2 linked regions of the Sus scrofa genome follow. Each later gene encodes a partner of the first gene's protein in a complex. Links are inferred from orthologs where the notes say so. Each region holds a gene or a part of one and is shown in the gene's direction. Other genes may lie near its edges. The genes, in order: CMKLR1 and RARRES2.

What was found.
Region 2: the proteins of CMKLR1 (region 1) and RARRES2 are in contact, whole or in part, in a cryo-EM structure (PDB 8ZJG), measured with the Homo sapiens proteins. The link is inferred for Sus scrofa from reciprocal best matches to the Homo sapiens genes CMKLR1 and RARRES2. Residues at the interface, in NP_001135815.1 of Homo sapiens: Asp20, Tyr21, Leu22, Asp23, Ser24, Ile25, Val26, Val27, Leu28, Phe88, Leu92, His95, Tyr103, His104, Asn116, Leu119, Ile120, Met123, Arg178, Leu183, His184, Gly185, Lys186, Ser188, Cys189, Phe190, Asn191, Trp203, Thr205, His217; in NP_002880.1 of Homo sapiens: Leu34, Phe37, His38, Phe60, Thr75, Ser76, Cys77, Arg96, Leu111, Gly112, Arg113, Leu114, Val115, His116, Cys117, Pro118, Ile119, Thr133, Leu136, Arg137, Gln139, Arg140, His146, Ser147, Phe148, Tyr149, Phe150, Pro151, Gly152, Gln153.

The regions. Positions count from the first base shown.
Region 1 is NC_010456.5:42,412,564-42,428,179, forward strand, and holds the start of CMKLR1 (chemokine-like receptor 1), read left to right. Parts: upstream 1-7,781; 5' UTR 7,782-7,906; intron 7,907-15,616. UniProt on the Homo sapiens protein: Receptor for the chemoattractant adipokine chemerin/RARRES2 and for the omega-3 fatty acid derived molecule resolvin E1.
Region 2 is NC_010460.4:55,895,968-55,911,161, reverse strand, and holds RARRES2 (retinoic acid receptor responder protein 2 precursor), read left to right. Parts: upstream 1-5,307; 5' UTR 5,308-5,319; coding exon 5,320-5,493; intron 5,494-5,722; coding exon 5,723-5,827; intron 5,828-6,710; coding exon 6,711-6,806; intron 6,807-7,034; coding exon 7,035-7,151; 3' UTR 7,152-7,161; intron 7,162-7,325; exon of another isoform or gene 7,326-7,343; 3' UTR 7,344-7,387; downstream 7,388-15,194. Other genes in the region: ZBED6CL (ZBED6 C-terminal-like protein), read right to left, coding at 13,490-15,194; LRRC61 (leucine-rich repeat-containing protein 61), read right to left, coding at 8,336-9,271. UniProt on the Homo sapiens protein: Adipocyte-secreted protein (adipokine) that regulates adipogenesis, metabolism and inflammation through activation of the chemokine-like receptor 1 (CMKLR1). Also acts as a ligand for CMKLR2.

The DNA.
Region 1 (15,616 bases):
GGACAGGAAGAGGAGGGGCAATGCTGGGAGGCTGACTGAAGGAGGGGACAGCTGAGCTAGGCTTTAAAAGATGACCAGGTTACCAGGGGGCTGCGCACAGGGTGGTGAGAGAGAGCATCTCTGGCAGAAGGGGCAGCTCAGGCCAAGGGGGTGGAATGTGAAACTGCTTGATGGGGTCAGAGTAGGAGGGGAAGAGGTGGGCCATGTGGCTGGAGAGATGGGCAGGGGCAAGGTCATGGATAACGTGTGCGTGTGTGTGAGCACACGCGTAGGGGTGAGAGAATCCCCTGGGAACTGGGAAAGCTTGCCTGCTCAGGACTTGCTGTGTGGCTTTGAGCAGCTGCTAACCCTCTCTGGGCCTGTTCTACCCCCTGGAAAATGGAAGCTTTTGCAGAATCAAGCTACATCCTGTCAGGCAACACTTGAGAGCTGGGGAAGAGCAGGCAACAGGGCTCCACGCTCCTCTGTTCTCATCCTGGAGAAATGGGCTGGAACAGCCCCTGCCACCCCACCCCACCCACTCCTCCTAGGCATCCAGGGTGGTCCCCTCCACAGCCAGTAGAAAACTGCCTCTTCTAGTAGGAGGAGCTGAGAGGGTAGGGTCCCCACGGCTCACTGTGTATCCACTCCCAACCAGGAAAGCCCCCTCCCAGGGCCTCAGACTGGAGGCTTCCTGACTCCCTGTCCCACCCAGGACCCATTTGGTGCTGTTAACACCTCTCAGTTTGGATGAAAGCCTGGGGGAACCCGGATGCTTGCTGAGCAGACAGAATCCTGAGTTTCGAGCATCTTGCTACCTCTTCTTCCTTTTCAGTTCCCCAAACTCAGCATCTCACTTCTGGGCTCCTTCCCTCCACCTCAGTCAATCCCTGAGAGCTCAAGGGACCCTCCTTCACCCACAGAGGCAGGAACTCTGTTACCTGAACACAAGTCAAGTTTCCAATATGATTTTTGGCTAAGGGTATGACAAGTGTCTGATGACGCATGGCCCAGGGCTCAACAATCTTATCTTGATAACACTGCAGGCCTTTCAGGGAGGAGCAGGAACTTGGCCATCAGGAAGAACTTGGGTCTTGGGCTCAGCTGCCTGGGGAGGTTGCTGGCTGGTTATCCATCTATTCATTCATTTAACAAATAGGTATTGAAGAGTGACCACGTGCCTAGCACAGTCTCTGCCCCCATGGAATTGACCGTGGAAGGGAGACAGATGGTATATTCCCAGCACAAATGATTGCTGCATTATGACTGAGGCTGGTGCTGCAGTGGAGGACAGGATATTATAAGAACGGACAACAGGGGTGCTGACTGGTCTTGGGAGGTCTGGAGGTGACACTTCAATTGACATCTGAAGATCTAGCTCCTCCAACATTCTTTTCAGCTCTGCCATCCCTCTGGTTTTTTCCTTCCTGAGAGATGAAGTTGGTAATGGGGGATTTTGATCAACCAAATTAAAGACAGGGTACTGGGGAGCCATGGAATGTTGTTGAGCAGTGGAAGGACACTAAATAAAATGGAGCATCAGGAAGGTGGTTCTAGTAGCATCCCAAGAGATAGAGGGCCCATACTTGGGAATGCAGGACTTTTAATGCCCCAAAGAAGGGAGAAAACCCAACATTTACTTAGTGCTAACTATGTGCCAGACTGTTCTAAGCATGTGGTGTGTATCAAGTGACTCATTTTTCCTATAGTCTGAGGTAGGTACTTTACTATTCTCGTGCATAGAGGAGAAAGCTGAGATTCAGAGAGGTTAGGAAATTGCACAAGATCACACAGCTAGTAAGTGGATCAGGGGCTCAAACTCAGATCTGGCTGCCATCAAGTGTTCTGGTCTTTTCTGGAACAGCCTTTTGGGTTCATTTCCCATTACCGCTTTAACAACTACCATACATTTATTTAGTGCTTTAAAACAATACACCCGCTCCTAGAGTTCTGGTGGTCAGAATTCCAAAATGAGTCTTAAGGGGCTAAAATTAGGATGTTGGCAGGGCCAGTTCCTCCCAGAGGAGGATCCACTTCTTGTCTCTAGCACAGAGGCTGCCCACATTCCTTGGTTAGTGACCCCATCACTGAGAGCTCTGCTTCCTTCATCACCTTACTGCCTTCTCCCTGTCATTGCCCACCTTCCTCTCATGAGGATCCTTGGATTACACTGCCCCCCCACCCCACCCCCGCCCAGCCCAGATAATCCAGGATTATATTCCCATATCCAGATTCACCACTTAATCACAGCCATAACTTAATCACAGGAGCACTGAAGGAACCTGGGAGGATAAATGACTTGCCCAAGGCCACACGGGTCCAAGTGTGGCTTGTCCATGCCTTCAAGAAAGCCCCAAACTATCCGCTTTTATAGAGTTCTGCATGTCTCAGAAAGCATCTCCGAAGGCTCCCTTTGGTTTGAAAGCCTCTCTGGTGAGTCCACTTTAGCAACTGATGATCAGGGAGATAGAGAAATCATTTAGCTCTAACTAAGGGTGTTAGGAATCCCTGAACACTAAGATCAATCAGAAACAGATACCAAGGGAGTTCCTGTTGTGGGGCAGTGGAAACAAATCTGACTAGTATCCATGAGGATGTGAGTTCGATCCCTGGCCTCACTCAGTGGGTTAAGGATCCAGCAGGGCCATGAGCTGTGGTGTAGGTCGCAGATGTGGCTCGGATCTGACGTTGCTGTGGCTGGGGCGTAGGCCGATGGCTATAGCTCTGATTCAACCCCTAGCCTGGGAACTTCCATATACCAAGGGTGAGGCTTCCCTCCCCCGCCCCCCCAAAAAAACCCTCACAGATACCAAGGAGTGTGGGGAATGGAGATACAAATTATACAAATGAAATCTACACTAGGATCTGTCAATACCTGGGACAAATGGGGCAGAGCTGGGACTAGCCCCCAGCCTCCTAGGCCAATGGGGTGGACTTTTGTTGGAGAACACCGTGGGATGAGAGAGCCCCCATCCCCAGGTCCAGGGAAGGCACTGCTAATTGATCACAGTTCTCTTCTCAGGCAGGCCTGGATGTAGCCTCAGATATCCTTAAACACAGAGCTCCAGGATTCCAGAGCCAAGCAACTAGAGTTGCGCATCATGAGGAAGCCTAACCCAACAAAAGTATAATTGAAAAAAAGATGTACGCACCCCTATGTTCATAGCAGCACTATTCACAATAGCCAAGACACGGAAACAACCTAAATGTTCATTGACAGATGAATGGGTAAAGAAGATGTGGTCCATATATGCAATGGAATAATATTCTGCCATAAAAAGAATGAAATAATGCCATTTGCAACAACATAAATGTAGCTAGAGATTATCATATTAAGTGAAGTAAATCAAAGACAAAAATCATATGATATCACTTATATGTGGAATCTAAAATATGACACAAATGAACTTATCTACAAAACAGAAACAGGAGTTCCTGTCGTTGCTCAGCAGTTAACGAATCTGACAAGCATCCATGAGGATGCAGGTTCCATCCCTGGCCTTGCTCACTGGGTTAAGAACCTGGTTTTGCAGTGAGCTGTGGTGCAGGTCGCAGACGTGGCTCAGATCCTGCATCACTGTGGCTGTGGTGTAGGCTGGCAGCTGCAGCTCCAATTTGATACCTAGCCTGGGAACCTCCATATGCCACAGATGCGGCCCTAAAAAGCAAAAAAAAAAAAAAAAAAAAAAAAAGCAAAACCCAAAAACCAAAAAACAAAACAGAAACAGACTCACAGACCTAGAGAACAGACTTGTGGTTGCCAAGGGGGTCAGGGAGGTATGGAATGGGCGTTTGGAATTAGCAGATGCAAACTATTATATATAGAATGAATAAACAACAAGGTCCTACTGTATAGCACAGGGAACTATATTCAACACCCTGTGATAAACCATAATGGAAAAGAATATGAAAAAGAGTGTATATATATATGGGTTTTTTTTTTTGCCTTTTTTTTAGGGCTGCACCCGTGCTACATGGAGGTTCCCAGCATATGGAAGTTCCCAGACTAGGGGTTGAATCAGAGCTACAGCTGCTGGTCTACACCAGAGCCACAGCAACTTGGGATCTGAGCCACGTCTGCAAACTTCACCACAACTCATGGCAATGCTGATCCTTAACCCACTGAGTGAGGCCAGGGATTGAACCTGCGTCCTTATGCATACTAGTCAGATTCATTTCCACTGGGCCATGACTGGAACTCTAGGAGTGTATATATATATATATGTGTGTGTGTGTGTGTGTGTATATATATATGTGTGTGTGTGTGTGTGTGTAGCTGAATCACTTTGCTGTACAGTAGAAATTAACACAACATTGTAGATCAACTATACTTCAATAAAATAAATTTTAAAATAATTAAAAAATTCAAAAAAATAAAATGAAATAATTTTTAAAAACCCTTATCTGCCTTCTTGGAACGACAGCATCTATGGGGAAAAAACAGAAGCGTCTTTGCCAGCCCTGAAGGGCATGACCACCCTCTCAGGCCCCAGTATTCTGGTCTCAGGCTTGGATTTCAGAATCCTATTTAAAAAAAAAACACTGAAAGTAAAAAAACTCACCCAATGCTTTTCACTCCAAGGAAGAAAAAGCCAAACTCTTCCGCCATGTTCCGAATGGCGGCCAAAGACCGTGGCTTCTGCTGGTCGGTCGGTCGCGGCCTGACTCGGCCTATTCCTCACGGGCTGGGTGGGGCTGCACGTTCTGACCTCCACCTCCAGAATCCAGAGCTGGCTGGCTGGGAGCCCAGCATCCTCCCTCAGCTGAGGTGGCTTCCAGCTGATAAAACTTGAGCCTCATTATAGCCTCGGGCTGGTTCTGGAGGCGAGAGGCCTCTGGGAGACATTCTAGAAGGAGGAAGAGGCAATTTCCATAAATCCGTCCAAAGGCCCAACCGCCCACCTCCCCTTCCAGGACTCCCAGGAGTGTGCTCCTCTTCCTGGAAGGCTGCTTCCCCCTCTTCCCCCTCCTCCTCCCCTCCCCTCCTCCTCCATTCAAACAGATGAGGAAACTGAGGCTCAGAGAGGCGAAAGGACCTGTTCACACAGCTCCCAGTGGTGGAGACATGGATTCTATCAACTCAGGTCTGTCCGATTCCAAGGTCTACATCCTTAACCACGGCTCTGTGGATTGAGAAGGTGACGTGTCCTGGGATCCAGAATGTATTCCTAATGGAAAAGTCTGTATCAGTGGCTTTTAAACTCGAGCCAGCATCAGAATCCCCTGGGGGCTTGTTAACAGCCTGCATTTCTAACAAGCTTCCAGGTAAGGTTGCTGCTGCTGCTGGCCTGGAATCCATGCTTTGAGAACCACTGGTCTCTGTTAGTGACAAACCTTTAGATGGTGAGGTACAGGATCCCCCTCACATGGTGGAAATGGCCTCCCCTTTGGACCAGGAGACTTTGTGGCTGCCGCTCAACTGCTAACTCTTGGGTGACCTTCTCTGGGTCCCTTGCCTTCTCTGGGTCCAATGTTTCCATCTGTACAGTATGAATGGGGAAGGGCAAGCCTGGCAGAGGAGGGAGGAGAGGGGTTTTAAGTCAGCCTGGGCCTGACTTCTGACTCTAGGAGCTGTGTGACCTCTGGCAAGTGACTTAACGTTTCTGTGCTTCCAATTATTATCTCTGAAATGAAAGTGTTAGACCAGATAGTTTCTAAATGTAAATCTCAACGAAAGATCGAGGATGGTGGGGAGAGAAGGTGAGCTTCTTGGGCTGGTCAGATGCTGAAGGACATGTTTCCCTACCTGCCCAAGATTTTGGAGGCCCAAGAAGAGCAGGTGTCCCTCCCTCCCTCTCTCTCTCACCCCTCTTTTTCACTCCTCCCTCCCTCCCTCCCTCCCTTCCACTCCCCCTTCTTCTTTCTTTCCTATCCCCCTCCCTTTTTCTCTCTCTGTTACCTTTCCCCCTGCTCTCCCTCCACCCCACCACCCCTCTCTTTTCCTTTCTACACAGTTATTTTCTGCAGCCTTGGCTTTGGAATCAGACAGACCTTGGTTCTATTATGCCACTACTGGTATGATCTGGGCGCCCTGGGCAAAATGACTTTCCCTCCACGGCCTCAGAATCCTCATCAGTAAAATGGGCAAATGCCACCTCCTCTGGCATTGTTGGAGGTTCGAGATGTACTCCACAGAAAGCACCTGGCATGGAGCAATGCACACAGTGGACATTTCTGTTAGTTCTTTAGTCTGGAGGCTAAGGGTGGGGCTCTGGAGCCAGATGGCCCAGTTGAAATCCCAGCTTTGCCACCTGCCAATGGTGTGACTTTAGAAAAGTGACTTAACTTTTCCGTGTCCCAATTTTCTCAAAGTTGAATAATAGGGGCAGAAATAGCACCTAATTCCTTCCTTCCTTCATGAGGATTAATACCAAGCGCCTAGCACACTGCCTGGCTGTCAGCTATTTTGATTCTTCAGAGATGATGGTGGTGTTGATCCGTGACTATAAGCCAGGCACATGCTTAGCCGTGGGGACAAAACACAGGCCCTCCCCCAAGAGGTTCCCAGTGCAAGGGACAGAGACACCCTAACAAGCTGGGCATCAGGGCTGCGACGGGGGAGCCCAGAGCAGTCCCCAAGGGGCAGGAAAGTCTTCCCTGGGAGGTGACTCTGAATAATAAACATGTTCATAGGCATTTTTGTATAAGAAAGTAATTGGATAAGTGTGCAATGGTGTGTATACTATAGTCCAAAAGTTGAAAATAACCTAATCATCCACCCTAAAATAGTGATTAAATAAACATTCATCAGGTCAATGAAATAATTAGTGATGATTAAAACAAAGTAAAGTGTGTATATATACACACATATATATGTATAAATATGTATTACGTAGACATACAATCATTGAATGAAAAAGCAAGTTACAATATGGTACCCAAAGTAGGACTGAGTCATTTTACTTTTATCTTTAAAATGTATGTGTGTGTTCATTCCAAACTGTTAATGATATTTACCTCTGGGAAGCTGGGTCTGGGATGAAAATAGAATTAATACTTAACGCAAGGTCTGAAAGTGGTTAAAGGTTTGTTGCAGTTTGTTATCACTCTAGAAATGGTACATGAATGTATTTGTCAATGGTGTCTAAGGTTTTTGCTTCCCTGTAACATTTACTAAAATCAAACTCTATAGAACATTTTAATTTTTTCATTTGATGCTTTAAAAAAACCCACCTCGTTGCTATTTTAATTTACAAAAAAAAAATAATAATACTAATAAAGAGGAAAAAAAGGAAGTAGGGGGTTATCAGGCCACAACTAGGGGCAGGAAACAGGAAGGGCACCCAGGTGGAAGGAACAGCATGCACAAACGCTGGGGTTAGGAGGTGACCCAGGGATATCCGGCAGCCAGTCTCGTCTGTGCATAGTCTGGCTGGAGCTCCAGAGGCCCTGGCAAGGAGCAGAAGTGGTTCCCACAGCCACGGAGAGGCCTGCATGTGCTCCTGGTTTGTGCTCAGATGGTGGGCACGGCTCCCGGCTCCCAGAGGGGCCGGTCCTCCCCAGCAGGCTGCGCCACCAGCCACCACCCACAAGCCCCAGCAGCCTCCCCTGTCGGTCCCCACTCCACGCAGCTGGCCGCCCCCGCCCTCGGTCAGCCCGGTTTCCTGCCCCTCCCTCTCTCCTCCCTCCAGCTGTTTCTCTGGCAGAGCTCTGGCCCATTCAGGACGGCAGCCCTGCTGAGCAAAGAGCGCACAGAGTGGGTCTCCCTGGGAGCCTGCGAGAGATGAGGATGTTCTGGGGGGCTGTGCTCTGGGGGATTGGAGGGGGTCTTGTATGAATGCATGAACTGCTTTCTGGGCAAACAGCCACAACCCAAGAACAGTGTGATTTCAAGAAAGAAGTCGGGGAACACAGGTCTCCTGCACAGCCTCCAGTGGCCTGAAGCCACGAAAGCCTTGGGAAGATCTGGGTGGAGACCAGCCACAAGGTATCATGCTTGGGTTTGATATCAGCCAGAGGGGCCTGGGAAGGGGAACCCTAGCAGTGACAGAAGCTCTTTGGTTCTTGCTAAAATGTAGTTTTCGTCCAAATGGAAACAGCTATATTACGACTTTGAGAGTTCCAAAGAGATGCATGCTAATTGTAAAGAACAGTGAGGTCACCGTGGTGATAAAAGCAGTGAGTTCAGTGTTTCCCTTTGGTACTTGGTCAATGCTTACAGCAGTCTGAGGAGGGAGGGACTTTCATGGTCCCCATTTTACTGGTAAAGAAACTGAGGCTCAGATTGGGGGAGGCACCTGCTCAGCATGGTGGAGATGGTAAGCTGGGGGCTGAGGTCAGAATGAATGAGAGTCTGCACAGCCCACCTTCCTAGCCGCTAGGCCATCCTACCTCTCAGCCACAGAGAGGAAAGACGGAGTTCCTAATCCAGGGGTGGACTGCTAGGTGCCTCTCTGTACCACTCATTCACGTGCTCACACGCTGATTTAGTTATGAAGCTTGTTGAGTGCCTACAATGTACCAGACACATAGGAGTGTCTCAGTGTGGACACACACACACTTTTCCACTATCTACTGTGGTAACCTACCTTGTCCTTAACCATGGATGGTGACCTTCCATCTGTACTATCCATGTTCCTCCAATGTACATTTTTATGGCTGCACAGAGACGATGACTTTATTAACCATTCCTCAATGTGGTTGCTGCTGCTTCTTTTTTCCATTAATATAAATGGCATTGCAATGTCTGCTTCTGTATATCATCTTTACGTGTTTTCCTATGGATACCTTTCCAGAGGTAAAATCATTGGCTCAAAGTTTTGCCTATTTTTAAGGCTTCCAAGGCTTTTGTCCACACCACCCTGGAAGATTGTGCTGGCTTGCACTCCCCTGGCACGATATTGGGGTGTGATAGTCTCGCACGGTTTCCCCAACCCCCTACATCCCCATTGTTCCCCATCTCCTACAACCCCCCTGATGGGAAAGCTGAGGATAACATCTGGCTATTTGACTTGATGTTTCTTTATTCATGCTGATTATTCTCTAGAATCTTACTGTTCACTTTTAGGACTGTCCTGTTCAAGTCTATTGCCATTTTTTTTCCCCCTTGCTGGCATGTCTGTCTTTATCTTATTGAGATTTAAGAGTTCTTTGCATATGAAGGATATGAACCCTTAGCCAGGGCTATCTGTCAGAAATATTCCACTCCCCATTCTGCTTTCAGACTAGCACATTTTAAATGGGTAAGCCATTCAGGCCAGCGTTTGGTAAAATGACAAGCAAACAACACGTCGTTATACTCAAGTAACTGCTACTTGATGACAGTCTGATCACTCAGACTATGTGGTTCAGGGAGCCAGCAGAGCGGCCAAGCCTTGGGTCTGTCTTCTCCCTCCATTCAAGAGCCTGGCCCCTTCGGCATCCCCAGCCTGTTTTTCAAAACCAGTCTTCTCCATGGTTCTTACTATCTCTCCTGATTTCTTCAAACTTGCTCAAAGGACAGTCTCCTTTAAACACCTCTGTTGCTGAGATGAATGTGTTTGGTCAATCCAGGAGGCCACTGGCGGGAGGAGGGCAGCTTGGCATTTTCTTAAAGTTTAACTTGAACCACTGATGCCCAAGTGGTGGGTCAGGCATTGAGAAGCCCATGGGAAGAGTTATCCGCTGGCACACAGGGACCTTCTCTGGACTCCTCCAAAACGTCAGGGAATAATAGATTTCACTTTGGGCAGGTCACTCCCCTCATTGATTTGACACCTTCTGAAAAGTGCTCTCCCCCCAACTGGGTCAAGGCCTGCCCACTAGACTCTCCCAGTACACGTACTCCACCCATCACAGTACATATTACACTGTGTAGTAATCGTCAATCATCTTGACTGTCTCTCCTGCTGGCCTGGAGGCTCCTTGAAGCCAGACGTGGGCTATTTTTCTCTTTCTGCACAAGACCTCGCTTACAGTAGGTGTTCAGGAAAGGTTCACTGAGTAAATAAAGTAACCAGGCCTCGGTTTCCCCACCCATAAAATGGGACGGGGGAGTGAGACTAAAGTCTCACTTCTTAGGTGTTTCCTTAATAACTCTTCTCAGTTTACAAACCACTTTATCGCCATGACTCTCTTGACTCCTCACCACAGCTGTATGATAAAGATATTCTTAACATGCCCATTTTATAGATTAGGAAACTGAGGTCTGAAGAGGGTTTCTGGTGTTAGACCTCCACAAGAGGTAGCAGAGCATTGTGGCTATTGGATTGGGCTCTGCTGGGTGAGTTTTAACCACCAACTGAGTGTCTACACAGCTTAATTTTATGCTCCAGTTTCTTCATTGGTAAAATGGGAAGAGGAACAGTAACTACCTCATAGGATTATTATAAAGATTAAATGAGATGATATATGTTGGACACTTTGCAGAGAGCTTGTTGTGTCAGAAGATGCTATAAACATTAGCTATTATTCTATTATCATTTCTATATCACCATGCTGACCATACCTGTCACCCATCTGAGCCAAAGAGAAATTATGATTGATTTCTTTACCAGTAAATTATTACTGCTCAGGTTCCAGCCAGTGTACAAGAAAACCAAGAGCCCATTTCATGCTCTTAGAGCTATGCTACATAGGCACAGTTACCATTGAGAGTTTCCAGGCTGTGAATCAGACTCAAGGCTTCTCAAAGGGCAATCTTGGGACCTCTAGCATTAGAATAATTATGAACATTTCCTAAAGCTTTGGTTTGTTTTTGTTTTGCTTTTAAGGGCCACACTTGGGGCACATGGAAGTTCCTGGGTGAGGGATTGAATTGGAGCTGCAGCTGCCAGCCTATGCCCCAGCCCCAGCAATGCCAGATCCGTGCCGCATCTGTGAACTATGCTGCAGCTTGCAGCAATTCCTGATCCTTAACCCACTGAGCAAGGCCAGGGATCAAATCTGCATCCTCATGGACACTAGTCAGGTTCTTAACCTGCTGAGCCACAACAGGAACTCCAGCCTTGGTTTTTTGAGTCAGAGGATGAGGTTTTTCGAGTCATCTCTGAGGATGAGGTGTGGGTGTCTGCATTCTGAACCAGCACCCCTGATGATTTTGATATACCCTAAAACTTGAGAATCACTGAGATGGAATACTTGAATATCTTTCCTTTTTGCCCTTTATCCAGGTTTCTGGGTTCTTTGCTGCTCACGGAGACATTTTTTTCCTTTCTAAGCAAATATCTATGCACTTCTGTGAGTCTGCATGTCCTATGTCAGCAGTTGAGGCCAAGAGGCAATGGTGGAGAAGAAGCGAAACTTGGTCTTATACCACAGAAAGTCAGATCCCTTAGCAATCACCCAGTGTGTGGCCTTTGACATTATTTTAAGTCACAGAACCCTTTCATCCAATGAAGATATATGGAGTGTATTCCTGTTGTGGTGCAGTAGAAATGAATCCAGCTAGTATCCATGAGGGGGTGGGTTCAATCCCTGGCCTTGCTCAGTGGGTTGGGGATCTGACATTGCCGTGAGTTGTGGTTTGGTTGCAGATGTGGCTCAGATCCCATGTTGCCATGACTGTGGCTGTGGCCTGCAGCTGTAGCTCCAATTTGACCCCTGGCTGGGAATTTCCACATGCTGCAGGTGTGGCCCTAAAAAGCAAAAAAAAAAAAAAAAAAAAAAAAAAAAAGACAGAAAAGAGAAAAAAAGAAAAAAAAACATATAAAGAACTGCAATTTGAAGACAGATAAAGTGGTGCTATTCTAGTTGAAGCAGAAGTGGAAGACTCTATACAGCAGCTCACTGAGCCTCACTGTCACTGCCGAAGGCCTCTAGGAATCCTCTTGAAAACTGCAAATCTACTCCAAATTGTTAAGACAACAAAGTTCTTAACCATTGCTGAGTTTGTTGTGTGACCTTAGGCAATGTATTTTCACTCTCTAGCCATAATCTTCTCATTTGTAAATAAGGAGATTGAATGTTGTATTAGTCAGGGAAGTAACAAATAGACCCAAACAAGTATCACGGCTCAAACAAAACACAAGTTTATTATAAGGCAGGTATTTCTGTGTGGGGGGTGGCGATTCAGGAACCCATCTCATGTCCCTACCATCCCTTGGACATCATCACTGGTGAAAGAAAGGATGGAGGGGGCATGTTTGCTTCTTAACTGCTTTCTGCCACACATGAGAACTAGGCATGTGGCCAATCCAATTGCAAAGGAGGCTGTGAAATGTAGTTCTTGGCAAGGGTGACTCAGTCTCACCTACAGCTGTGTACTGTGGAAGGGAGGACAAATTTTTGTGGACAGCTAGCTGTCTCTGCCACAAATACGGTGACTGCTTGGGTCTCTTCCAGTCCTGATTCTAAATTCTAAATTTTCACTAGTCAATCTTAAAATTAACAGGATAACGTGGGGCCCACAAATACTTTCCTATCCTCCAGATAATCCTCATCAAATACACTGAGTAAATCTCCACATTCCAGTCCCCTAAACATAGATTTTCCTAGAACTTAGGCAACTGCTGTTCTTGTTCCCTCCTGGAAAAAGGAACTATAATAATGGTATAGAGCTAAGCACGCTTGCTGAGCCAAAGGTTTTCATATCCATTATCTCACTGAACCCCCCTACAACCCTACATGGAAAGGCTTCATGGTTAGCATTTCCATTTTATAGATGAAGAAAATGAGGCTCAGAGAGGTAAAGGGACTCTCCCAAGGTCACACAGCTCTTAAGAAAAAGAACTGGGATTTCAACTCAGAAAATCCAACTCCTGTCCTAAGGTCCCATTGCACATTGGAGCACATGTGTGCAAGGTGTGTGTGTGTTTGTGTGTGTGTGCACACACACGCACGTGCATGCATGCACGAGTGTACTTCAAGACCACGTATGGGGTTAGGGTAGGGGATTTCCTTGGGCTGTATTCCCCCAGCGTGGGGTATAAGGAAATGGATATGAAGGAATCATTGTCTAAGACCCCAGAATGGGCCAGATTTGCTGATCAGAAGGCAGCTGGGTGGTTGTCTTGGGCTCAGGAAGCCCAGTGTGATTAGGTGTTACAGTCACTGGCCAGAAAAAAGAGGAGATGGCGTGTGAGGATGGACTGAAGCCATCTGTGCATCCTGGATGATGCTGAGGCCTTGACTGTGCTGGGAACAGGGTGGGTGCCTAGGGACAATTTCCTATGTGAATAAACTCATGAAGAGCGAAAGCTGTACCCAGGTGAGAACTTAAGATGGATCAGGCCCAGTCCCTCTTCTGAAGGCCTTTAGGGGAAGGGAGGCAAACCTGTCACTTAGACTTTTATTCAGTCACTCAACAAACATTCATTAGCACCTTTTCTGTGCCTGGAACTCCACAAGGCAGGATGGTGAAAAAGACAGGATTCCTGCCCTCATGGGACTTTGGAGGGGCCATGGGGGTAGTTACATTTGCCCACGTGTTAGATCTGCGGAAAGCGAGGCTCTGATTGTTTAAGTGACATTTCCAAGGTCACTTGGTAGGATTAGGATCCAGGGCTTTTGGTTCCCAGGCCAGAACTCAGGACTGGCTGAGGGTGAGGCCCTAGGCTTGAGCCTGAATACAGGGAAGGGGTCCTGTGGGTTGGCAGTGACCTTGTGCTGATGCTGTTTTAAGGCAAAATAGCGGTTAATTTACTTCTCTTTTGGAACCTGTAGATTTTTGCATAAGCTTAATTGAGAAATGGTAGAATTTCTTTTTTTCTTTTCTTTTTTTGTCTTTTTTGCTATTTCTTGGGCCGTTCCCACGACATATGTTGGTTCCCAGGCTAGGGTCGAATCAGAGCTGTAGCCACCGGCCTACACCAGAGCCACAGCAACGCGGGATCCGAGCCGCATCTGCAACCTACACCACAGCTCACGGCAACGCCGGATCGTTAACCCACTGAGCAAGGGCAGGGACTGAACCCGCAACCTCATGGTTCCTAGTCGGATTCGTTAACCACTGCGCCACGACGGGAACTCCGAGAAATAGTAGAATTTCTTGACCTGCTGGTTGGAACCCAGAGGCCATGTTATTTCTACCTGGTGCTGTCACAGAAAGATACACTGATGTCTGCTTGGCATTACTGACAGTGTGACATGGTCATAGATGCCACAGCCACCTGCTCTAGAGTTCAGATCCTGTTTCGGCCCTTTCACCTCCTGCCTCCTCAGTGTCCTCATCTGTAAGGCAGGGAGACTCTTGGGGGTTAAGTGAGTTAATATACATAAATATATACATGAGGACGGCACGTGGTCAGCTCAATGAAGTCACCTCTATTTTTATTTTCAGGAAAGTGGGAATTGAAATTTGCCTTTGTATGTGTCAGTTGATGGGGGCATCTGGTGCCTTGCGACCTTGGGCTCCCAGGGTAGAAAATGTCGTTTTGGCCAGTCTCCTTGCTTCCTGCCATGCCCCATGGAGAAGTGCTGGGCTCCAAGGGCGGGGGTGGGGAACGGGGGACGGGTAGGGGGTAATGGGGGGGTCAGGGAAGAGGGTGCTCCAGCCCCACTGACACATTGTGGCAACCTTGAAAGTATCAGCAGCTGACTCAGCAGGGGGGTCAGCTGCTCTTCAGGCAGAATGCTGGAATCGGTTCTGCTTTCTTGGGGTCTTGGGTCCTCTGATCTTAGCCTTGTGCTCCTGCTGAGGGCAGCTCTTGTGCAAGGAGGTGGGTGGGTAGGGTGATTGGCGCAAGAAACAGTGGCTAGCACGCTCAGTTTTTCCTTCTGTGGATCAGGGATCAGAGGGACAGGAGGGCTGGTGGGGTGCCATCAAGCAGATCTGGTTCTGGTCTTGGGAACCAGTCACCTGAGTGAGCTCAGGCAAGTCACATGACCTCTTTAAGCCTCGATTTCCTCTTGACTCAGAGCTGTGGCAGTGCTCAACTAATGATCTGGGGTGGTGATCAGGGACCGAGGGCATTCAAGATAGGCCTATCCCTCGTTATCAGAATTTGTTGGAATCTGTGAATTCCTGAGTCTGGGATGGACTAAGAGCCCTGTGAGTCAGTGTATGAGCCTGTTGCCTCTCTAATAATCGCTGCAAGCTCTGTGGCTTTAAAACAATACACATTTATGATCTTATATTTCTGGAGGTTGAAAGTCTCAAATGGGTTCACCTGGGCCGTTTCGACTGAGCGCTTATTGTTAAAGACTCACATCAGTGCCCGCCTGGTGCATTCAGTGTGCAGAGTAGCCCAGGAGCAAAGAGATGGGTAGCTTTGACTGGGGAAGTCGGGAAGCAGTGCCTGGAGAAGAGAGCATGTATTTGAGCTGGTTCCAAGGATGAGTTGGCTTTGAGTGCCTGGATGATAAGTTGGCCAGAAATAAAAGATATTTCTGTCTGGGAGAGCAGAGTGAGCAGAGATTTTGGAGGCTTGATGAGCAAGGGGTGTCTGGTGCAGTGGATGGAAGCAGGGAGCAGCCGGGGGGAGCCACATGTTCTGCCGGGCCTCGAAGATCCCATCCAATGTTCTGGGTGGTCCCATATGTCCCCATTTCACCAAAATAGCATCTTGTTGTCCCCAGACCTTGTCTCCTCCAAACTCAGAGCTTAAACTTGAAGATTTGGATGGTCAAGGATCCCAGACAACCCCAAGCTAATTGAGTTGGAGATTCTAGCTTGGCAGAGGGTATGTCGGTTTGTGGCTTTACCTCCTGGGTTGTCTGTCCAGAAACCAGCTCAGAAAGGAGAAGATTTCTTGCATCGGTCCTCTCTCTGAGCACACCC
Region 2 (15,194 bases), on another chromosome or scaffold:
AGCGTGGTACTGGAGTTCCCCTGTGATGCAGTGGGTTAAGGAGCTAGTGTTGTCACTGCAGGGGCTCAGGTCACGGCCATGGTGGGGGTTCAATCCCTGGCTCAGGAACCTCCACATGCTGTACACATGGCTAAGACTTTTTTTTTTAGCCACCCCTGCGGTATATGGAGTTCCAGGGCCAGGAATCAGATCAGCTGCAACCCAGGGCAACGTGGGATCCTTTAACCCACTGTGCAGGGCCAGGAATCGAACCTGCTCCTGCCCTGCAGAGACTCTGCCGATCCCACTGCTCCACAGTGAGGACTCCTATCACCAACCCTTTTTGGGGCTAGGCATTCCTGTCTTCTCTCTGCTTTAATCTGCTTCTCTCCATCTTCCCTGACCCTGCTTCTATCACATTCACCAATAGCCACAACTGTCTCCTACTGAGGGCGCCCCACACCTAGACACGTCCCCTCTCATCCACTCTCCATACACTTGCCAACAGTAAGCTTTCAAAAATGCTACTTGTTTAGTGATTTTTAAAGTTTAGAAAATTATTTTTAGAAGTTCCCTGGTAGTACAGCAGTTTAAGGATCTGACTTTATCACTGCTGTCGCTGCTGTGGCTCAGGTTGGATCAATCCTTGGCCCAGGGATTTTTGTAAGCCCTGAGCACAGCCTTGCAAAATTTATCTTTATATTCCTTTTTTTTTAAATTTATTTTTTGCTTTTTAGGGCTGCACCCACAGCATATAGAGGTTCCCAGGCTAGGGGTCCAATTGGAGCTACAGCTGTCGGCCTATAGCACAGCCACAGCAACACAGGATCTGAGCCGCATCTGTGATCTACACCACAATTCATGGCAACACCGGATCCTTGGCCCTCTGAGCAAGGCCAGGGATGGAACCTTCGACTTCATGGTTCCTAGCTGGATTCGTTTCTGCCGTGCCATGACGGGAACCCCCTATTTTACACTCTAATGTACAAGTCACCCAGAGGGTAAGAGATTGTAAAAGTACAACGTGAACGTGCAGTTTTTCTCCCTCCTTTTTGCCTTTCCAGACAGTTCCTCTCCTCAGAAGCAATCAATGCTACAAGCTTCTTGTTTTCCCTTCTAGAAATGTTCCATGCGTTCATGAACATAGACAGACACACGTCGTTCATAATGAGAACTTGACACGTGGCCAGCCTGACTGAGGTCTTGGAATCTTAAAGCAAGAGACCAACGTTTCCCACATTGCTTCATTCCACTGAATGATGCCTATTGAAAATACCTGTGGGAGTTTCTGCTTTGGCGCAGTAGGTTAAGAATCAGACTGCAGCCACTCGGGTTGCAGCTGCAGCTCGGATTCAATCCCTCCGGAACTTCCATATGCTGCCAAGGCAGCCATTAAAAAAAAAAAAAAAGATAAAAGAAAAAAGAAGAAAAAAAAGTACTTGTGCTCCCTTTTCTGAATGGACTCTATGCAAGCGTCACGGGCAGAGCTGTTAAAATCGTTTAGTATTTAAGTGCAAATTCTTTGAAACATGGCCAGTTTGGGAGACTAGTGAAAGAAACCGATGACGATGAATTTAATAGTCTTTTCTTTGCCAGCACTCATTGGTTGAGTCACCGAAGGGTTTTGCTAAGACTTACTGTATTGTTAACACCAAGAATTTCTTGAAACCAAAGAATGTTAACCAAATATTCAATAAAGATAAAAAATATAGGAGTTTCCGCTGTGGCGCAGCAGAAACAAATCCAACTAGGAACCATGAGGTTGCAGGTTCGATCCCTGGCCTTGCTCAGTGGGTTAAGGATCCGGCGTTGCTGTGGCTGTGGTGTAGGCCTGTGGCTACAGTTCCGATTAGACCCCTAGCCTGGGAACCTCCATATGCCACGGGTTCGGCCCTCAAAAGACGAAAGACAAAAAAAATATATATATATGAAATAGAAAGTTCTCACACCAATATAACACTACCTATGACCAAAGGAAATTTAAAGCTCTAAAGAAAGGAAAAGCTCATTTGTGACCTAACCAAACAAATATGAGAATTTTAAATTAAATCTTTTACTAATAGTGAACAATTATGACTTTGCATACTTTTCTCACATAAATCAATATGTAAAGACTTTTAACTGTAGAGGACACCGTTATGTAAATTGGCTGCAAAAATTACAAGAAAACTTTGAAGACTACTTTGCTGATATTAATATTTATAGTTGCTTTTGAACTTATGCGATATTATTTTAATGTGTGTGAGTTATACTGAGTTGATACAAGAGTTAGTGAATTTACTGAACTTGGACAGGTGTATTTTGAAATTGATATACTTTTGCTTCAAATTCAAAATGGTTCTTTTATTTAAAATTTTTTTTAAATTTTGTCTTTTTAGGGATGCACCCATGGCATATGGAGGTTCCCAGGCTAGGGGTCAGACTGGAGCTACAGCTGCCAGCCTACACCACAGCCACAGCACAGCAACACCAGATCTGAACCACATCTTCGACCTACACTGCAGCTCATGGCAACACCAGACCCTTAACCCACTGAGTGAGGCCAGGTATCAAACCCTCGTCCTCCTGGATATTAGTCAGGTTTGTTACCACTGAACCACAATGGGAACTCCCACATCGGTTCTTTTCAGAAAACATGTGCTGGAGTTCCCTGGTGGCTCAGCTGGTTAAGGATCCAGTGTTGTCACTGCTGTAGCTCGAGTTACTGATGTGGCATGGGTTCCATCCCTGGCCCCAGAACTTCCCCATGCCATGAGCGCAGCCAAAAAGCAAAAACTAAAACCATACAGTAGTTTGTCCCTGTGGTTGCAAGTATGACAGGAGAATGTTTGGGTTCTCAGTTCACTTATTGGAATCTTTGCCCAGAGTGTCTTGGATGCATGAATCTCCGCTTTCATCTGTGAGGCCAGGGATGATCCCGAACCACTAAATAGCTAAGTGCTGTTACCTGCCCTTGGGTTGAGACATGCCACTGCCACTGAGCTCCTGAATATGCCCTAAGTATCCTCTCCCTGTCCCCACCTGTGACATTCTGCAGGGCGGTGGCCCAACTGTCACGTTCCTTTCACCCAAAAGGAATTCTGTCTGGTCACGTGACCTACACTGTACATGCATCCAGCGCCCAGTCTCCTTCCTTGTCTGCCGCCACCGCCCTGCTCCCAGCCTCCCTGGCTCACCCAGGCCTGATGCGGCCCTCACTGAAGCCAGGACACCTTCCAGGCTTTCCTCAGCCCCAGTCCGCACCTTGTCTGGGAGGTTTTCTCTGATCCTCCAGCTTGCAGCCCTGGGCTGGGAAATGCCTTCTGCCTGTTTTCCCTCTAGACTCACCGGAAGCTCCTGGAGAACAGAGATCCCAGCTCCCGTCTCTGCTTAAAGATCGTGGACAACTCACAGTAGGTTCAAAGTGTCACTGGTGGAATTTTAGCCACCAGAAAGGGCTAATTGAAGCCAAGCATCTTTATGGCACCCCCAGGGCACACTGCAAAGGCAACTCTTGGCTCCACGAGGAGAGTCCTGGCAGGGGCGCATGGGGAATGGGAGAAAACCTTGTGCCAAACACGGGGTCATCTGCCACTTTCCGTGTATCTCCTCATTTAATTCTCAAACCAGCGCCTAGGGTGGGGCGTCTACCCCCGCCTGGCAGGGAAGGGCTCTGGGCCTTAAATGAGGTCCTTTCTGGGGGAGATGAGCAGCCCTGGTCACCCGGTCCCGGTGACTGACACTCTATGAAATCCCAGAGCTTGCTCCTATTTGCACAAGCCAGCAGCAGGAGTCAAACCCCCACTTTCCCTGACTCCCAGCAGCCTGAGGAATCCCACCACGCCTTCGCCCACACGAGACCCCGGAATCTGTCACCGTCACAGATGGGACATGCAGGATCAGGACGTGTTGGCTGTGTTAGAGGTTGTCAGCCTCCTCTCTAAAGGAGACCGCTCCCTTCCCAGCGCGGCTTTAGGCCAAGGGAGGCAGCCAGGCAGATCAAAGGACCTCGAGGAGGTCCCATATGATTTGAGGTAGTCTGTGTTTCTGGAAGACTCTCCCGAAACGCGGGTCTGGGGGACGCTGGGGACTGGCCGCCCAGGAAGGGCCTGGGGGCAGGGCAGTCCGCAGCCCTCCAAGGAGAGGCTGGGCCGAGGGCCTGGCCTGGGGAGCGCAGTCCCAGGAGGGCCGGCCCAGCGCGGGGCGGGGGTGGGGTGGGGGGAGGAGCCTCCGCTGCGCTGGGAGCTGGAGGGGGCCCAGGAGGTGGGAGGGGGAGGAGATGGGGGCCGAGCCGTGGGAGGGAGCAGGGGGTACCGGGAAGAGGCTGACAGCCCGGCCAAGAGTCGGCCTGGGGAGGTCGGGAAGCGGCAGTGTAGGAGCGACCCCGAGGCCCGGGAACGGAGGTGAGCGGGGAGCGGCAGTGGCTGGACGGCAGGACGGGCGGGCAAAGGGCGCTGCTCCAAAGGGCGATATCTGTCAACTTGTCTGGAGCCCTGTCTTTCAGGCAACGCCCCGGGGAGCTTTTCACTGCGGGGGCCTCAGTTTCCACCCCTTTGGCTTTCTGGTCCTAAGACCACTCTCCCCCGCAGCGTCGTCGGGACCGTCCAGTCCTGAGGCGACCCCAGTCACAGGTTGGGGGGGCTGGGAGCGGGATGGGGGGAAGGCCCCAGAAAAAAAGGACTGGGGAGGGAGGGTCTGCCCGAAGAAGAAGAAGAAAGCCAAGGGTGGGACCAAGGCGAGCCCCCCATTTCCGGGGGTGGGGGCAGGTAGGGCTGATGGCAAGGGGCACTTTTAGCCCAGGAAGGGTTAAGTGTCCTCCTGTTCCCACCCGCTCTAGACCCCTCCCACGTGTTTACGTCCTCCCAAAAATATTCAGCCTCCTCCCAAAAATATTCAGCCTCCCTGGCCTCTCTTTGGTGCTTGCCCCTGCCCCCCCTCCACCCCCAGTTGGGGTGCGAGAGGGTGAGGGTCAGGGCCCCGGGCCCCTTGGAGCCAGTAGTTTGGGGACAGCCAGCAGGAGAGGGGCATCAGAGAGGATGGGAGAGAAAATGGGCCCCCAAAGCGGGGCAAGCTGGAGTGGGCAGCAGCGCAGCTTCTCAAGCTCTTGCCTGAGGCCGAAGGCCAACTCAGCCCCGACCCAGGACTGCGCCAGACCCGGGCTGAGCTGGACCTGGAGAGTGGGGGAGGGTGGGAGGAGCAGGGGAATCCCAGGGGAATGGGAGAGGGACACTCCCTGCCCTCCGCCTCTGCCAGACGTGGCCCCTGAGCCGCAGGGCCAGGGAGCTGCCCCACCCCGACCCCCCAAGCTGGCTGAACCCTAACCCTAACCCTTTGCAGGATCAGGGTGATCAAGGTGAAGCCATGTGGCAGCTGCTGCTCCCGCTGGCCCTGTGGCTGGGCACCATGGGCTTGGGCAGGGCTGAGCTCACAGCGGCCCAGCTCCGTGGCCTGCAGGTGGCCCTGGAGGAGTTCCACAAGCACCCACCCGTGCAGTGGGCCTTCCGGGAGACTGGTGTGAACAGTGCCATGGACACGGTGAGCGGCACCCCAGGGAGGGGAGGGGGACGGGACCACTGCACGGGAGTCCAGCATGTTCCCCAGGAGCAAATGCAAAAGTGCTTGGGCCCTGTGAGCACCCAGCTCTCCGGAGAAAGGCCACGGCCTCAGCCACCCCCTGGGATGTGCTGTTTCAAGGTGGGACAGGTCACATCCAGGAAGTGCTCTGCTGGCTCAGCTGGCTGCTGGCCTTCCTGTCTGTCGGCAGCCCTTCCCGGCCGGGACCTTTGTGAGGCTGGAATTTAAGCTCCAGCAGACCAGCTGCCGGAAGAGGGACTGGAAGAAAGCTGAGTGCAAGGTCAAGCCCAACGGGGTGAGTGAGGGCCAGCGTGTGTGACAGGGTGTGCGCTCCGTGAGAGTATGCAATTGGGGGTGGGTAGGAGATGCATCGAGAATGAGGTTGAAGACCTCAGAGGGGGTGGCCTGGGTCTGAGCCCAGGGTCGTGATGGTTTCGGGTGGGCTGCGGGCCTGGACAGACCAGAGGAGGACGGTTGGGCTTCTCTCTGAGGACGCACGTTCTTCAGACTGATCCTCCCTCCATCCAAGTTCCTCTCTCAGGCTTCAGGTCACGGGTGGAAGAAGCCCTGGTGAATTCCTCCCTTCCTGTGAGTTTTCAAGTAGAGATGGTCCAGCCTGGGCTGCTTCATACCAGGGCTTGATTCATCAGCCACGTTGGGAGCAAAATCACTGCCACAGGCCGACCCCTGGGCTGGGAGCACAGCCATCTGGGTCCTTGTCCCAGCTCTGCCGCACCCGCCCTGGGGCTCTGCAGGTTCTTTGGAGGCCTCAGTCCCCTCTATCTGTTAAGGGGGGTCTGGGTTACACTAGTGGTTTCCAGACCTTTATACCAGGACCCTTGTGTTCAAATCAAATCTTACAAGAAAATGCAAACAGATGACAGCAGAGTGGCTCGGGTGGAAGTCCAGTGTGGAGAACCCACCTGGGACGGACACACACACACACACACACACACACACCCCCACACACTCGTGCACTCTCCCAATCTCGATAGTTAGAAAACCGCAAGATGGTTTGACTTCGGCAGTTTCCCAGTGGGAGGGTGGTTGGTGCCTGGAACCAGCAGAACTGCCAATGGACTGTGACCCCACTGTAGGCTGCCCCCAGCTTCCACCCTCATGGGGCCATAGGCCTCCCTTCATCACCTTCCTCCCTGGCCCCATGCCCCCCTCCCCAGAGAAAGCGGAAGTGCCTAGCCTGCATCAAGCTGAACTCTGAGGATAAAGTCCTGGGCCGGATGGTTCACTGCCCCATAGAGACTCAGGTCCAACGGGTAAGAGTTGGCAGAGGCGCGAGGGGGAGGCTTGGGGGGGGGCTGCAGGGGAGGTCCGGGTGCAGGGGTGTGGAGGTGTGAAAGGCAGCAGGAGAGAAGAGGATGAGGGTGGGAGGGGCGAGGAGGAGCTCTGGGCAGGGCCCAGACGTTCCCTAGAGAATGCGGATGAGCAGTGGACGCTGCCAGGCCTCCCCCTGGGCCGGCCTGAGCGGGCGCTGGTGCCCACAGGAGCCCGAGGAGCGCCAGGAAGCTCAGTGCAGCCGGGTGGAGCGGGCCGGCGAGGACCCCCACAGCTACTACTTCCCAGGACAATTTGCCTTCTTCAAAGCCTTGCCCCCCAGCTGAGGCCCTGCTGGTAGGTGGCCAGGGAGATCAGAGCAGGGATGGCAGGCCGGAGTGGGGTGTGGGGCCGGGATGGAGAGGAGTTGGAGCCAGGCTGCGGGAGGCAGGGAGGAGAGAGCCTGGGATGGAAGGAAGGCTGGGATGGGGCCCAAACAGCCCCCTCACACTCAATCTTAGTTTCTCTTCCCTCTCTAGAACTTCACCCGGCTTCCTGGAAGCTGCGGGAGGACACCAGTGAAGGCCGCCTGGCCCTCCCCTCTCTGCGCCCAGGGAGGGCCACCCCCATTATCACTGAGCTAATAAAACTGCTCTGCTGAGAAAGCCTTCTCTCCTCCCACCCCCACAGTCCCTCCCTCCCCAGCTCAGCTGGAGGAGACCTGTGTGTGAGGAGAGGCCTGGAGGCTCCAGCCTCATTGGGAGAAAGCAAAGCCCCAGGGGGGGGCAGGATACTTCCCTTGGAGCACCCCCGCAAAGCCGCGTGCCCCTCCTCCTTCCCCAGGAAAGGCCAGCAGGAGCAAGGACCCGGGGCCTCCTTTCAGGGACTCACGCCTGGGAAGACCAAGCAGGGCCACGTGAAATGACAGGCAGCGAGGCAATTAACATCAGGAGTTTACTAGGGATCAGCGGCGCAGGGGGGATGGATGGTGAAGGCCCCGCCGGGCTGTGGGGCAGAGCAATCACTTGGACGGGCGACTCTGGAAGGCAGGAAACCATGGCCTTCTCGCTGAGCTCTGCCGGAAGGCTGGCCATCCCCGTCTTAGGAAGAAGCAACTTCCTTCCACCAGGTCTCAGACTCACAGGGGCAGGAATGGCAGCAGCTGTGGACACAGGAGGCAAGGGGCCTCTTCCCGGGCACTCTGAGTAGGTGGCAGGACAGCCTCGGATGGCGCCAGCTGCTTGAGGAGGGCCTGAGGCCCTGATACCTGCTCCAGGCCTCCCAGGAGGTGTGTCCCTGATGCCTGTGGACGGAGGTGGGCACTTTTCCTTGCGGTGGAGTAGCGGAGGGGGCTGCTCTTAGGGACGGGGACGTAAGAGCACAGTCCCCTGCTTTGCCAGAGGCCAGCGTGATGAAACCATAACAACAAGCACAGAGGCAGGAAGGGACCCATGGGCGGGAGGGGGGGGTCACAATGTGCCAACCCCACAGCCACATGCCAGGCTGCCCCGGGCCACGGCAGGGGGCGCAGTCAAAAGACAAAGGACGCAGTGGTGCCTGCGGGGCTGAGCGCCTGCTCGGCCCGAGCTAGGCTGTCGCTAGCCTGGCGGTCCAGGTCTTGGCATTCCTGCAGTGTGTCCTGGAACTGCCGGCAGGCCTCCTCCAGGATGGAGCTGCTGCGTGGTGGCCAGGACTCCCAGTAGCCTGGCTCCACCCAGGGCTGGGCCTCCAGGGCTCGGGACCCAGGGCTGGAGCTGGGACGCAAGGAGCTGTCCAGGTCCCGGCACAGCTGGTAGAAGTCACTGCCTCGGCCGCTCACACGCTCGCCGTCGATGACCTTGAGGCCCGGCAGCAGCTCCCGGACAGAGGCCCAGTAGGAGGGGCTGGCGCAGATTGGGTTGCTGAGCCGGGCCAAGGGGTCCCGCAGCCGCAGGCACTCGAGGCCCCGCAGGCCGGCCAGACACTGCAGCTGCCCGGGGCCAGCCAGCAGGTTGCCCGCGGCGTTGAGGCGCTGCAGGTTCTCGCAGGCAGCCAGGGGCTCCAGAGCCGTTAGCCGGTTGTTGGCGACGTTGAGCACGGTCAGCTGGCGCAGGGAGGCCAGTGGGCCCAGCTGGGTGAGTGCGTTGCCCGACAGGTCCAGCCACTCGAGGCCCAGGCACTCGCCCAGGCAGCCCAGGTCCACCAGCCCCAGGCCCCGCAGCTTCAGCAGCAGGATGGACTCCAGGGCGAACTCGCCCGAGCGTGACTTGAGCAGTTGGGGCGTGACGCGCACCCCGTCGGCCTCTCCAGGCTTCTCGCCCCGAGGCTCCATGAGACGTGGGGGCCAGGTGGCTGGCAGTTCCGTCACAGGGTTGTGGGTGCTGGTGGCGGTCAGCGGGCTGCTCGCCTCAAGGGGTTGGCCCTCAACTCTGCCTGGGCCCGTGCCCAACGCCTGTTTCCAACACCCCCCTCGAAGGCTGGTGGGTCCCTAAGGAGAGACAATCGAACAGTAAGCAGGCCTCCGAACACCTCTGGGAGCCCCCAGCCTCTACCGCCATGGCCAGAAACCTAGATGCCCGGCAGGACCTGAGGACTCAAGTCCAAGAGCCCGCTGAGGGGGTGGGCCGAGGGGGCCCGACTTGGGGTCACACGGGATGGCACTCAGGCCCTGTGTCGCCAGTTCCCCATTTTCCTTCTCTGCACCAGGGACACCTCTTTACTTTCCTTTCTCAGTAGCTGCTGGTGATTATCCATTGTCATTCTGAAGTGTTTTCTTTTCTTTTCTTTTTTTTTTTTTTTTTTTTTGTCTTTTGTCTTTCTAGGGCCTTATCCATGGCACATGGAAGTTCCCAGGCTAGGGGTCTAATGGGGGCTGCAGCTGCTGGCATACACCACAGCCACAGCAACGCAGGATCTGAGCCACATCTCTGTGGCCTACACCACAGTTCAGGACAACGCTGGATCCTTAACCCGCTGAGCAAGGCCGGGGATCGAACCCGCAGCCTCATGGTTCCTAGTCGGATTCATTTCCGCTGCGCCATGACAGGAACTCCTGAGGTGTTTCTTTTAACCCCTTAAAGTTATCTCTGAGTAGACAACAGGTGGCCATCACTGCCAGTCCTTCTGTTCCTCCCTGGGAGAGCCATGCATTTGCTGGTGTAAATGAGAGCACCTGGCCTTGCTTTATGCATCAGATACGTCCCTGACTCAGTCTCTTTTAATACCAGCAATGAATTCAAAATGGTTTCTGGGTTCCATGGGCCAACCCGTAACCTCTGGTGGTAGCTCAGCCTTCAGTCCCAGATGAGGAAACTGAGGTTGAGGGAGGGGAGAGTGGAGGCCCAGGGAGTAAGTGGCAGCACTGCCAGGCCCGACCCCAAGCCCTGGCCACCCAAACCCTCTTCACTTTGGCATCCACAGAACCGCATCCGTGGCTTTGGCATCCACAGAACCGCATCCGTGGCTCCAATCACAAACATGACGTCATTTCCCAAGCAGGCAAAGGGAGGCTGGGGAAGGTAGGCCGAGTGGTCAAGGGAGGCATCCTGGGGGAGGAGCAGGGTGGCACTTATCGTGGCTCCAGAAAGGCAGGGGAGGGAGGGGACTTTCAAGTCACTAGTAGCTGTGGGACGGCAGAAACCCGGGTGCTAGTGCAAGACAGGAGCACAAGAGAGGAGGCCGGGGGGCAGGTAGGGGGTGTGGCGATGCCGAGCACTGAGGGGTCAGCGTTTAGGCAGAGAGGAAAACAAGCAGGGATCTCTGCTCCAAGTGGCAGCTCCCCAAACCCACAGACTCTGGCCAGGCGCAAGCCAGGCGGAGTGACGCCTGCAGAGAATCAAGGGGCCATTCACTCCCGCTGTTTACAAAACCTGGGGCCCCAGCAATCGGCCTGTTTCCGTAGCAACACTTCTCATTCCCCCTCCAAGGAAACCAGACCCAGAACTCCCCCCCCAACCAACCCTCACCCCCCACTAGGGAGTTGGGGAGGCTGCTAACACATCTGACCCTCAGCTACCATCTGAGAAGAGGGTCCCAGGTCATTACCCGGCCCCCCTGGTCAGCAGCAGTCCAGCTCCTTCATTTCTACCAGTTTCCTTCCAAGAGGCGTGGAACGTGCTAGGAAGCCTGCCCTACTCCCTGCAAAACCAGCTGCTGGGGTCTGTAAGCAGCAGAGGAAGGGATGCGGTCACCTCTGCATCTAGCTGACCTCTCTGGCCCACAGGGCGGGGGGCATATGGGCACTGGGCACGAGAAACTGGCCATAAAAGCACCAGCAAGAAACAATGACCCTGCTGAGGGCAAGAAGTGACGGAGACGGGGGAGGGCAGACCAGAACAACTGCTGGGAACCTGGCCACACGGCCGGAGGCAGAGCTCCTGCCTCAAACACATGGGTGCACGTGGACAGGTGACCTCTGCTCTGCTCCCGGCCACAGCTCACCTCCAATCTCCTCACCTCGACTTGGGAGGTGCCCACACACCTGTGCAAACCCAGCTCGTGTGGAGGCCGGCAGCAGACAGCAGGCCCCGTGTGACGAAAATGGCTTATCCACATTCTACCACGTCAAGGTCACTCTAAACCCTGGAGCCATCCAGGTCTGTTACAGAAATGAGCAAACAGAGGCTGTTGGCCTAAATGTCTTGAAAAGGACTTGGCTACACGGGTGAGCATGGGACTGAGATAACAAGCGGCATTCCAATCTCAGGAGGGTGGCCCATCTTCCTCCCTTGCTCAGAGCCAGCCTTTCCGCGTCTCAGTTTACCTAAGTAGGAAACGGGCCAGAAAATGCTCAGACAGGCCCTGAGTCAGCCAGAGCAGGTGGCACCAAGGCCAGGGGAGCAGCCTCAGGCAGACAGTCTCCTGGGGCTGGGCTGCGTCTCTGCCATGAGGGCCGCTCTGTGCATCTGCTTCCTCCACCAGGAGAGGATGGTAGCAACCCCCCCACCCCACAAGCTGTGACAACCAAAACAAAGTGCCTGGATTGAGAGCCACTGCTCCAGAGCCCAAGCACCCAAGTTTGGGACCGTCCAGTGTCTTAGTGTCCTGCTTTCGCAGCCCCACCGCCCTCACATGCTACCCCACCCCAGTCCAGTGATGCCAAACAGTAAGGGCACGGTGCCTCTCCTGAGAGAACAGCTCGAAGGATGGCGGTGCCAAGGAATACAGAGCCCCAGGACCACCCTAGGGCACGTCTCATCCCTGCCCCCACCTGACCTACTTACTGCTCCCCAGGTAGGAGGGCGGACAGGCCACCCCGGTTCAGAGATGCTCTCAGGTGGTTTTCCCTAAAATTGGAGCCGCACTCACAACCTAAGGAAGGGAGGCGGAGAGAGGGCAGGGCCCCGATGCACTTGACACAGTGGGGACCTCAAGGAGTGGCCCCAGTCCAGCCCCTCCCCAGAGCCGTGCGCACACCCCTCCCACGGCTCGGGGAGAAGGTGCCCCCAGAGCCGTCTGGAGGCTACAGACCTCACTTCAAATCATGCTGCTCCAACCACGGAAGGCAATCTGTACAGTTTTATTCACGCCACTGTTACACTGCTAAACTGAAAACACAGGCTGCCAGGTAGGGCAGGGGTGCAAACTCACCCTGAGTAAAAGAAGACGGAGAATTTTTTCCTGCTCCCTTACAGTCTCAGTAACTTCCCAATGTCCTACCATGAGTTAGTCACAGTGGCCCAGGCAAAGCGAGGGGACAGGCCTCCAGGCTCACCCCCAGGGCCAGGGTGCAAGCTGGGCGGCGCTGCTCCCTGCCTCTGCCCACCTTCCCTCCCCGAGCCCGTGACCCAGTGACCCAGCACCTCAGGAGGGCTCGCCCCTCCTTCTCCCAGCCCAGGACCCTCCGGCCCTGCACACGGCCCTAGGGAACTCAGGGCAGCCGCCCACCAGGGTACCCTCCCTGCCTGCTTCCTGAGGCCGTCTGCAAGCCCCAGGTCTCCAGGGGTCTAGAGAACCCTGCAGGTGGGAAGGACAGTGTGAGGAGGGGAAGGCCCCTCCACCTCAACCCCAGGCCGAGGAGCAGCAGCCCAGCCGTGAGGACCCTCGGGCACTCTGGGGTCCCCGGGGAGGAATGGTCCTGAAGCCACTGTCCGCACAGCACCTCCATCTTACAACAGCTACCTGCCTCGGGGTCTCCTCCTTTTCCCAGGAGGAGCATCCTCGGCTCAGCCAGGCTCTAGGTGGCTGAAGATGTTCCCTGTGGCACCCCCGCCCCCCCGCCCCCGGGGCCCCTGGTCGCTCTCTGAGGAAGCAGACCCTGAGGGCAGGGCCTGCACCCTGACGCACACAGTTATGCTGCAAGTGAGGTGTGCAGGGCCCCTTACATCCCCCAAGACACGTATTTTTTTGGCAATGCCCGCAGCACGCCGAAGCCCCCAGGCCAGGGACCAAACCCTCCCATAGCAGAATCCTTACTACTTGGCCACTGGGGGCTCCCACCGCCCACCAGCGCTGTAAAGGAGCACTGTGGTCCGGAAACTGAGTGGCACAACTCAGAGCCACCTACTGACAAAGCCAACATTTCCACACACACACCGCTGGCCACAAATCAAGGGGTGAGCAGATGCAAAGTGACAGCTCCCTGGAAACAAAACAGCCACCTGTCCGAAACCAAGAAACATTCTTTTCAAACAGGTTTAAGGTTCTGGCCAACCCTCTGCCCTCTCCTTCCAGCTGCTGCGGGCTCCCACGGGCAGCCCCTTGGGCGTCACCCGCTGGTCGGCTCCCCCTCAGCCAGGTCTCCACTGGGGAAGACCAGGGGTGGTGGGGTGTAGCTGGGGAAGTGCTCCAGGTTGGTCTTCAAGAAGAGAAGGTGCTCGACCGTCTCCACTGGGAGCGAGGCGCCGTGCTCCACGATGGCGGGGCTGTCCAGGGAGGCAAAGACGCTAGCAGAGAAGGCGCCCGTGGCGGGGCAGGACAGATAGATGGTGGCCAGTCTCGCCAGGGCTGGCCAGACTGCCCGCCTCTTTGCCCAGTAAGCCAGGGGGTCCTCCTGGGCGCCCACCGTCTCGTTCTCACGCAGGTACTTCTTAACGATGATGCTGGCCAGGTGGTTCTCTGTGGACAGGGAGGCACCACTGCTCTCAGAGGCCAGCAGCCCGGCACTCTCCAGCTGCTCCAGCAAGCTCCTCTCCCTCTGGGCCAGCAGCAAGGACCCAGAGGGACTGCTCCTCCGCACCGGCTCCTCCTGGCCCTTGCCGCCAGTCCCAGGGCTCCTGCTCCTTCTGCCACTCAAGGTGGCGCCCGCGCGCCCAGCCCTGGGGCCCTGCAGGGAAGGGGAGGGCGGCGTGGCGTCCTCGGACACCATGATCTCCTTGACCTTGCACACGAGAACCTGCTTCCAGTGGTCAATGTCAGCCCCCGCGGGCAGGATGGCCTCAATCCTCCCCTTGAAGCGGGGGTCCAGGAGCGTGGCCAGCACCAGCTCCTCGCGGTGGAAGAGCTCGGTGAGCTGGAGGTCTGTGGCGAGCTGCAGGGCCAGGCCCTCAGCCAGCCGCACAGCCGCGCCCACCTCCCCGGCGCTCTGCCCCTCGAAGTGCCCGCGAAGCTGCTCCAGGAAGATGTGCAGGTAGCGCAGCTGGGGCAGCACCAGGCTCAGAGTGGCCTGCGCAGCACTCGCCTCGCGGACCACCATCTGGAAGGGCTGCAGGAGCTTGACTAGGCTGTCTGCCAGGCTCCAGAAGGTGGCCGACAGGGCTGTTCCCGCCTTCCCCGGCTGGTGCTTCTCCTCATACTCCCGCAGCGGCCGCTGCTGCTCCACCAGCCACTCCATCAAGCGGTAGGCAGACACCCAGTGGTCCGAGAGCTCCCCGAAGGGCTGGCGGGCCGGGACACCGCACTGCTGCTGCAGCTGGGAGAGGAGCCGCCGGGCCTCTGCGGAGCCTTGGAAGTGGCCGCAGATGGCCCTGGCAGTGCCCAGGATGATCTGGATGCTATGATGGTGACACAGGAAGTTTCTCACCAGGGAGTTGAGGCAGTGGGCAAAGCAAGGGATGTGGGCGTAGCCCTCCATCCGGACCGCCTGCTCCAGACTGGGGCAGCCCCCCGACACCAGGAAGCCTGGTTGCAGGGAGCCACGGCCAAGCCACAGGCTGAGCTGCTCCCGCAGCTCCCGCTGCCTGTCCTCTGCAGTGCTGTCCAGCGGCAGGCCTTGGACCCAGAGCACGGCCTGCTTCCTCGGGCTCCCTGGCTGCGTCGCCCTCCAGTGGGCAGTGACAGCCACATAGTCCACCACCGTGTCCCGGGCTGCCATGGAAACAGTGAGGTGGACCCGGCGGCCCTCGGCCCACTGCATCTCCTGCCACACCTGCTCGCCCATCGCCTCATGGAGCAGAGGCAAGGCCTCGTCGGAGAAGAAGGCTGGAGACGGCAGGCGGTAGCAAGGGTCCATCCGGGCCACGAACCTTCTAAAA